Linked DNA regions of Daphnia pulex. The protein of the gene in region 1 purifies or fractionates together with the protein of each later gene. This does not show direct contact. Links are inferred from orthologs where the notes say so. Each region holds a gene or a part of one and is shown in the gene's direction. Other genes may lie near its edges.

Region 1 (3,209 bases):
GTCGATTCACCAAAAGGAAGCGTGAAAAAGCAGAGCTTGTACAGGAGACAACCAAGGGCCCAAATATCTGCCTTGGTTGTGATGGATTTCCCCATGTATAAATCGACCATTTCGGGAGACCTACATATGGCATTATATAAGTTTTTTTTTTTTTTTACTTATTCCAACAGCAGTATAATTTTATATTACCTATAGGACAATGTAGTGTATTTTTTAATCTCTTCCTCAACAACAGCCACACCCATTGTGGATGGGTTAAGCACCTTGGCCGTAGCTGAACCAAAGTCACAAAGGACGTAATGGCCAGCGTCATTGAATAAAATGTTTTCCACCTGTGAAACACCGATTTAATAGTTTACATTCTTAGTCCAGCATTAATAAAATAAATCCTAGACATACTTTTAGATCACGATGTATGATGGGTGTCTGGCAGTGATGAAGCCGAGAAACAGCTTCACACATGTCACAAAAGATAGCCATAACTTCTGGCTCTGAGAAGCCTGTCTGCAGTCTTTCATTCATCAACTGGAGGACATGCATCTTGTAAAAGGGCATAAGGAGAAGCACCTCATACACCCCATTGCTTGACTGTGTGATGCTGGAGTCTATGTATCCAATAATATTCTTGTGCCCATTGAGTGTAGAAACAATCTGAATTTCTCTTCGGCAGGCAGCCAAGTCATGATCATTGTTGACATGCATACGTTTTAAAGCATAGCGACTGCCATTAGATGCCTTAACTAGGAAAACAATTGCAAAACCACCTAGAAAAGAATTCATGGATTAAAAGTGAAACAATTCAATATTATTTGATAATAAAATTACAAACCTTCGGCAATAATGTCTTCAACTGTGACAGAGTACTGTTTTCCCACTTGAAACACTTTTCCAACAAGGCTCTGACCACCTTTAGACTCCTTCTGAGAAGGGTCAATTTTTGTCTCAATTTTAGAGAATAATTTCTTCATGATTAACTATATACAGCCTGTGTGTTAGGGAAAAATATACGATATAGTGAAAATCTACAAATATAGAAAAGAAGCAACCGAGATATTGCGACATAAATTGACAGAAAAACTTACAGCTGAAGACAAAGAGATAATCCGAATCACGATTAACAGGAACGTCAAACTGGGGTGGCAGAATCACGACGAAAAAGACGTCATGCGAAATAAATGAATATCATTGGAACACGAATCCAAATAATTTTCTTATCTTCCGAAATTTCTCTCGTCTTCCGAACGGGATTTTGCTTCTTTTCCACCCCCTATAAAACCTGTCAGAAGCTTCACAAAATTCTCGCTTGAGCACTTGGCAGTGCAATCGGTTCTGTTGCCTAGCAACAGTCTATTGCAGACGACGCAGGAAACCAAATCAAAATAGTCATTTTGGAATTGAAGTGTTTCACGTGTCTGAAATATAAAAGATTTCCTGTTAGAAATAAAATGAGATATGCACAAATTGTCATTGGCCCAGCAGGCTCTGGAAAAGTAAGTTTAGATGAAAAACCAATCAATGTTTCCTTAAAAAAAGATGTAACAAAATGAATTTGTTTTTAGTCCACCTACTGCACTGAAATGCAACGACATGCTGAAACTTCTCGACGAAATATTCACATTGTAAATTTGGATCCAGCAGCCGAGTCTTTCGAATATAAACCGTCCATCGATATTCGAGACCTCATTCATGTGGACGATGCAATGGAAGATGAGGAAATGCATTTTGGACCAAATGGAGCTCTTGTTTTTTGTATGGAGTTTCTTCTGGAAAATTTGCCGTGGCTAGAGAATCAACTTGGAGAAGATGATGATGACTACTTCATTTTTGATTGCCCTGGACAGATTGAGCTATACACACATCTCAATGTTATGAAGAAATTGCTGGAAGCACTAGAGTTATGGAATTTCAGATTGTGTGCTGTCTTTATCTTAGACAGTCACTTTATGATAAACTCTTCATCATTTATATCAGCATCAATGGCTGCTCTAAGTGCCATGACAACCTTGGAGGTTACATTCATCAGCATCTTGAGTAAAATTGATTTGTTAAGCAAGAAGAGTAAAAAGCAACTGGAAAGGTGAGAACTTATCATTTCAACAGTTTTCCTCAACTAATGCCTGCATTTTGTGTAGATTTTTGGAGCCGGACGTGAAAGACATATGTGCGAACGATACGGTTGTGGTCAATTCAAAATGGAATCAAAAACATCAGATGCTTACTGAAATGATTGGCCGAGTTTTGGAAGACTATTCTCTAATCAAATTCGCACCGCTTAATATAACGGACGAAGACAATCTCGCCAATATTCTGTTCATGGTGGACAACTGCATGCAGTTTGGAGAAGACAGGTACCTTTCTAGTTATAGTAGCAAAGGGTTACAAAACAGATCAGTCATTCATTAATTGCTGTTCAGGGATATAAAAATGGCGGAATTTGATGCTCCTGACGAGGAAGACGAGGACAACGATGACGGTTACGAAGAAGGAAGGGGATGAGTCAATTAAATATCACTTACTTACGAATTTATTATTTCTTTTTCCTTGAAACACAATACACCGCAATTTTTTCAGCATTTCTGTATATTTTGTATTTTCAGATGACATTGATGTACATCATGTTATTGTCGTAACATTAGTGGTGTTAAGTGAAGATGGCGCTAGGATTTACGAAGGTTTATTCGATTTCGACTGTTGCTTCTTCTTCTGTTCTTCCAAGAAGTTGTGGAATGATTTCTGACCAACTCGGTCTTCTTCATCTGCCAAAAATTAATTATTGGTTATTAGGAATAAGCTAACTATATTCACAATCACAAAATATTTATGTATACCATCGTCGTCTCCAGGGCGCCCTTCGTGTTCTTCATCATCACTACTGGATTCTCCGCCGATGGCTCGATTGCGCAACAATATTTCAGATGTCGCACTTGATACACTTTGGGCTTGTACATCGTTGTCAAAATCGTGTTGAAATTTTTTCTTTTGGCGGTCTTTATCCTTCGTACGGGCTTCGGCTTGAAGTTTTAGCAAGCGATCATGTTCTGGGCAGTATTCTCTATGAAAGAAAATGTAATTTCAATAAGTTGTTCTGCCGAAATTAAATTTAAGTAATAGTCGTTTACGTTTCGTATTCAACAACGGCGGCATCGACAGCGGCCAGAAATTCTTCAAATCCTTCTCCAGTAACAGCAGAAAAACCAACAGTAGTGATA
Region 2 (4,122 bases), on another chromosome or scaffold:
ATGAATAGTGATTTCCCCACCTCAAAAGTTTTACAACACTACGACAAATGAATACAGCTATGATCGATGTAGATAATTATAGAAGATATAAAAAAATAGTCTAATAAAAAAAATTGAATTGTGGTCGACCCACTCGGAAGTCATTTTCACTTTGAACTGGTGTACTTGGTGACAGCCTTGGTGCCTTCCGAAACAGCGTGCTTGGCCAACTCGCCAGGTAGGAGGAGACGTACAGCTGTTTGGATTTCACGACTGGTAATGGTCGAACGCTTGTTGTAATGGGCTAGCCGCGAAGATTCTCCGGCAATCCGCTCGAAAATGTCGTTCACGAAGCTGTTCATAATAGTCATGGCCTTGGACGAAATTCCAGTGTCGGGATGTACCTGCAGAAAAGTTTCATCGATTGTAATTACACGATTATACACTATAAAATATCACGAAGAGAAACAAAACATTTACCTGCTTCAAGACTTTGTAGATGTAAATGGCGTAACTCTCCTTCCTCTTCTTGGTACGTTTGGTCTAAAGAAAACAAGATGTGAATCAAACTCGTTCAAAGTTTATAACACGAAATTCTTACCTTTTCACCAGACTTGTTGAGACCACCCTTTTGAGTCTTTCCTGCCTTTTTCGCTGCTTTTCCACTTGTTTTTGTAGGTGACATGGCCATTTTGATGATATTCTTAACTGGAACTCGACTGTGAGCTGATAGAATCTGGGAAATTCTGCTACAGAAAACCTAGACGACGTTGGTTTTTATACTCTTTCCCCCCATTTTTCGGACAAAGAAAACTCCCTATTTGCAGTCATAACTCCGGGGTACAAACCCATCCTCCTTCCACTTTTTTGTTTTCAGACGTTTTCTTACTCTTCCTCTAACCTCAAGTTAATGGATTTGTTTAATTCATTTAAAAGGGGATAATCTTTTTTCTCAGAAAGAGAAATAAACTATGAGCAAACTCTGTCTAGCCACGAGGTATTTTTTCGTTAGCCTTCCACGAATTCATATGCATTTTTTAAAGATTTTTTAAAGAAACTATTTTTTGTTAGGGCATATTCCGATTATTAAGTTTAATTGAAAAAAAATCATTTTAAACCTATTCAAAGCAAGGTCAAATGAGCTCCAATGAAATTGTTGTTTGCCATACTGAAAATAAGTTAGCCAGCCAAATAGGTTTTTAAAAATAAATATATGTTTATAAAATCTGAAGAAATGCATACAGCATTTATTAAATTTCGTGTCTATTAAATAATTTCGATGATTTATCAAATAGGATTTAATATGACCCATTTCCAGCAGACGACTGCCTCCCCATTTCACGATTTGAAGAATAATATTGTGCAGTGCTGTCTGCAGAGAATTTGCTTTCCCACGTTGTGGGAGTGATATCTATGATTTGTGATATCTAATTTATAATTTGGCGTCTAGAATCTGAAAAAAAATGTCAAAGTTAGAAGAGGAGAATGATGAAGTTGTCAGAGAGGTGGGAATTGGGTGTTGTTGCTGTATTCGGCGTGAATGTTCTCACATGTTTATGATTTTTACAGATCCCAGTCTTTTTGTCAAAGAATTTGCTTCAGAAACTCTATGTTTTCCAATATCCACTTCGTTCTGTTGCAGTTGAAATGGAAAGACCTCATGTTGCTGCTGTAAGTATTATATCTTGCATGCAACTCGATTTCAATATTAATGTGAAACATTTCAGTCAAGGATTAAGCCTAAACTTCAGGAAGTTGAATTAGAGCTTGAATTACCAACACATACACAAAATTATGATAGGAGCAAAGCTGAGCAAATTGTTATTAATACAGATGGACAAAATAAATATGATAAACCTGATCATCAGAACTTTTTCAGCGGGTAGGATTGGTTCGTAATATATTTACTTCAACAATATAATAAGTGTTTTCTTTCTTTCATGAAAGTTCATTTATGGATAAAATCACCTATTCTTCCACAAAAGCACTTTTGGATCCAGGAAGGTTTGCAGTTGGCATTGTAGTTGATAATGAACTTCATCTCAATCCATTGCATGGAATTCTACATGTAAAACCCAACTTTCCATACTTGGACAAATCTGAAAAAAATCTAAAAGATACTGATGAACCAACAGGTTAATTTCTTAATGCCAGAAGCATTGTTTCAAATTTATTAAAGTTCTTTGTGAATTTTATAGAGTCAGGTGATGAGGAAGAAGTTGCTGAACAAATCACTGTGAAATTTGCTCGAACTGAAACAGACAGAAGCAAAGCCCTCAGAGAAAAGTCTTTTGGGTTCCTCCAAAAAAAGAATGCAGAAGAACCCTGGTACAATACCAAATTCTATTCATTAAATTCTGAGGAATCCATGGTATTTATATCACAGTATTAAAGGTTATATAATCAATAGAATTATTGTTTGATCATTTGTATAGTTGGAAAAAAACCGTCTCATCTGTGGAAAATCGGATACAGTTCAAAATCTAACCATGGCAAAAGATAAATACATCAGCGATTTGATTGGCCCTAGCCTAGAGATTGATGAATTTCAGAAACAACTTACGTTAGGAAACGCGTCAATGTTTCAAATTCTTAAACTGCCTCAACTTGTAGATAGAATTAAAAATCTCATGGCTAATGGTAACTTAAATGTTGAAATAGTATTACCACATCGATAACCAATTTCTATCTATAGTTAAGCTGATCTCGTTCAGTAAGTTGTGCAGTACCCTAGAAATCAAACAGGAATCTGTTAAAATGGAATCGCTGAAATCGCTGCAACAGGTGGCTGAGTTGGTCCAAGGTAACTGGGTTGTCAAGAGCGAAATCCTTTATCCGAGCGGAGAGAAAGACAAAACGGTTAAATTGTGTGGAATTTCCGGAATTCATCCTGATATCATCAGCAAAGCCAGGGATTATGTGGTAAATAGCCTCCTGATGATTTGTTTTTTTCCTGGCGACTGTCATAAAGTTCTAACATTTATGTTTTGATTTGATATAGTTGTACATGTTTACTCTAAACCGTTGTGTGAACCGAGAAGCAGTCACTATTGCGACTAAAATTCCTACTGATGAAATGAAAGTTATTCTGGAGCAAATTTCCTTCAAGACCAAGGACGGATGGGAATTCAAATTGCCTTTTGATCAAGCCTTTGTTGACAAGTGCGTTTCAATTCCTTTCCAATGATTTTTGTGTTTTAATGACATTTTATTGCGAAAACAGGTATCCGGAAGTGGTTAGGCGCAGCGAATTGATGAATAAAGCTAAGCAGAAGCAACTTTACAACGTCGCCGAATTTAAAGCTCCGAAGAAGGAACCCACCGATACAATAAAGAAAAGAACAAGGCGACGCTCTCGACAAGATTCGTGCAGCTCAGACAGTGGAAATGACGTTAAGAAGTAATCGCAGTTGAACATGAAAAAGCGGATATTAAAAATCTTCTAGTACACTTTTTCTACCCTGCAACAGTCTCGCTGTTCATTTCATTGTTTTGACCTTGATTGTTCAGTTCGTGCTCTTGTCGAAAAATGAAATGGTTGACTGGCGAAAGTAACTGTATCTCTTTTCTACTTTTGATTTGTACGTAGAAATCTCAAACCGTACCAACAAAAATAACTGCAAGCCTCATCCACATTTTCACAAGCCCTCTGGAATATAAAATTTCGAAAGGATTTTTTATTAATATGAAAATATGTACACTTTTTAATCCTGGAACCTGGATCTACTGATCTACTCTAAGCTTTTTCATGCGACTGTTTTTTTTTTTCTTGTAAAATTGTTTGTGTTAATAATAAAATACGGAAACGATACATCCTCATATAAGTTTTTCTGGTTGTTTTTGCCACGAACTCAGTTTTGTGTTATCAATGATAGGTTAGGCAACCGTCTGCTAGAACTGATTTTAAGATTAGATCGTAGATTATAAACATCCTGGTTGCGTAAACCGATACAGCAAAAGAAAGGGGAGGAGCTTATTACAATCGTCTGAAGAGTTTGTTTACTGCTTTAAAATCAAGTTTTACACGTCAGTCATTTTTACACGTCAAACAGTCAAAGAATGTTGCAGCAAATATTTTAGATACTATATAAAAAACTATATGTGAGTGCTGAGAATTCAATTTCCTTAAATGCTATTGTGAGT

Evidence for each region.
Region 2: the proteins of GPN-loop GTPase 3-like (region 1) and DNA-directed RNA polymerase III subunit RPC5-like purify together in Homo sapiens (affinity purification with mass spectrometry; 3 studies listed by BioGRID and IntAct, counting the BioPlex papers as one, with this or other methods). This does not show direct contact. The link is inferred for Daphnia pulex from reciprocal best matches to the Homo sapiens genes GPN3 and POLR3E.

Annotation. Positions count from the first base shown.
Region 1 is NC_060025.1:7,099,902-7,103,110, forward strand, and holds GPN-loop GTPase 3-like, read left to right. Parts: upstream 1-1,336; 5' UTR 1,337-1,445; coding exon 1,446-1,490; intron 1,491-1,559; coding exon 1,560-2,077; intron 2,078-2,132; coding exon 2,133-2,348; intron 2,349-2,414; coding exon 2,415-2,496; 3' UTR 2,497-2,573; downstream 2,574-3,209. Other genes in the region: AP2-associated protein kinase 1-like, read right to left, coding at 1-120, 190-332, 400-764, 830-968; GPN-loop GTPase 1-like, read right to left, coding at 2,665-2,756, 2,829-3,052, 3,120-3,209. UniProt on the Homo sapiens protein: Small GTPase required for proper localization of RNA polymerase II (RNAPII). May act at an RNAP assembly step prior to nuclear import.
Region 2 is NC_060017.1:5,953,632-5,957,753, reverse strand, and holds DNA-directed RNA polymerase III subunit RPC5-like, read left to right. Parts: upstream 1-1,285; 5' UTR 1,286-1,442; coding exon 1,443-1,484; intron 1,485-1,548; coding exon 1,549-1,650; intron 1,651-1,706; coding exon 1,707-1,861; intron 1,862-1,926; coding exon 1,927-2,114; intron 2,115-2,177; coding exon 2,178-2,350; intron 2,351-2,414; coding exon 2,415-2,619; intron 2,620-2,674; coding exon 2,675-2,901; intron 2,902-2,980; coding exon 2,981-3,141; intron 3,142-3,202; coding exon 3,203-3,383; 3' UTR 3,384-3,530; downstream 3,531-4,122. Other genes in the region: histone H2B-like, read right to left, coding at 147-383, 460-522, 581-670. UniProt on the Homo sapiens protein: DNA-dependent RNA polymerase catalyzes the transcription of DNA into RNA using the four ribonucleoside triphosphates as substrates.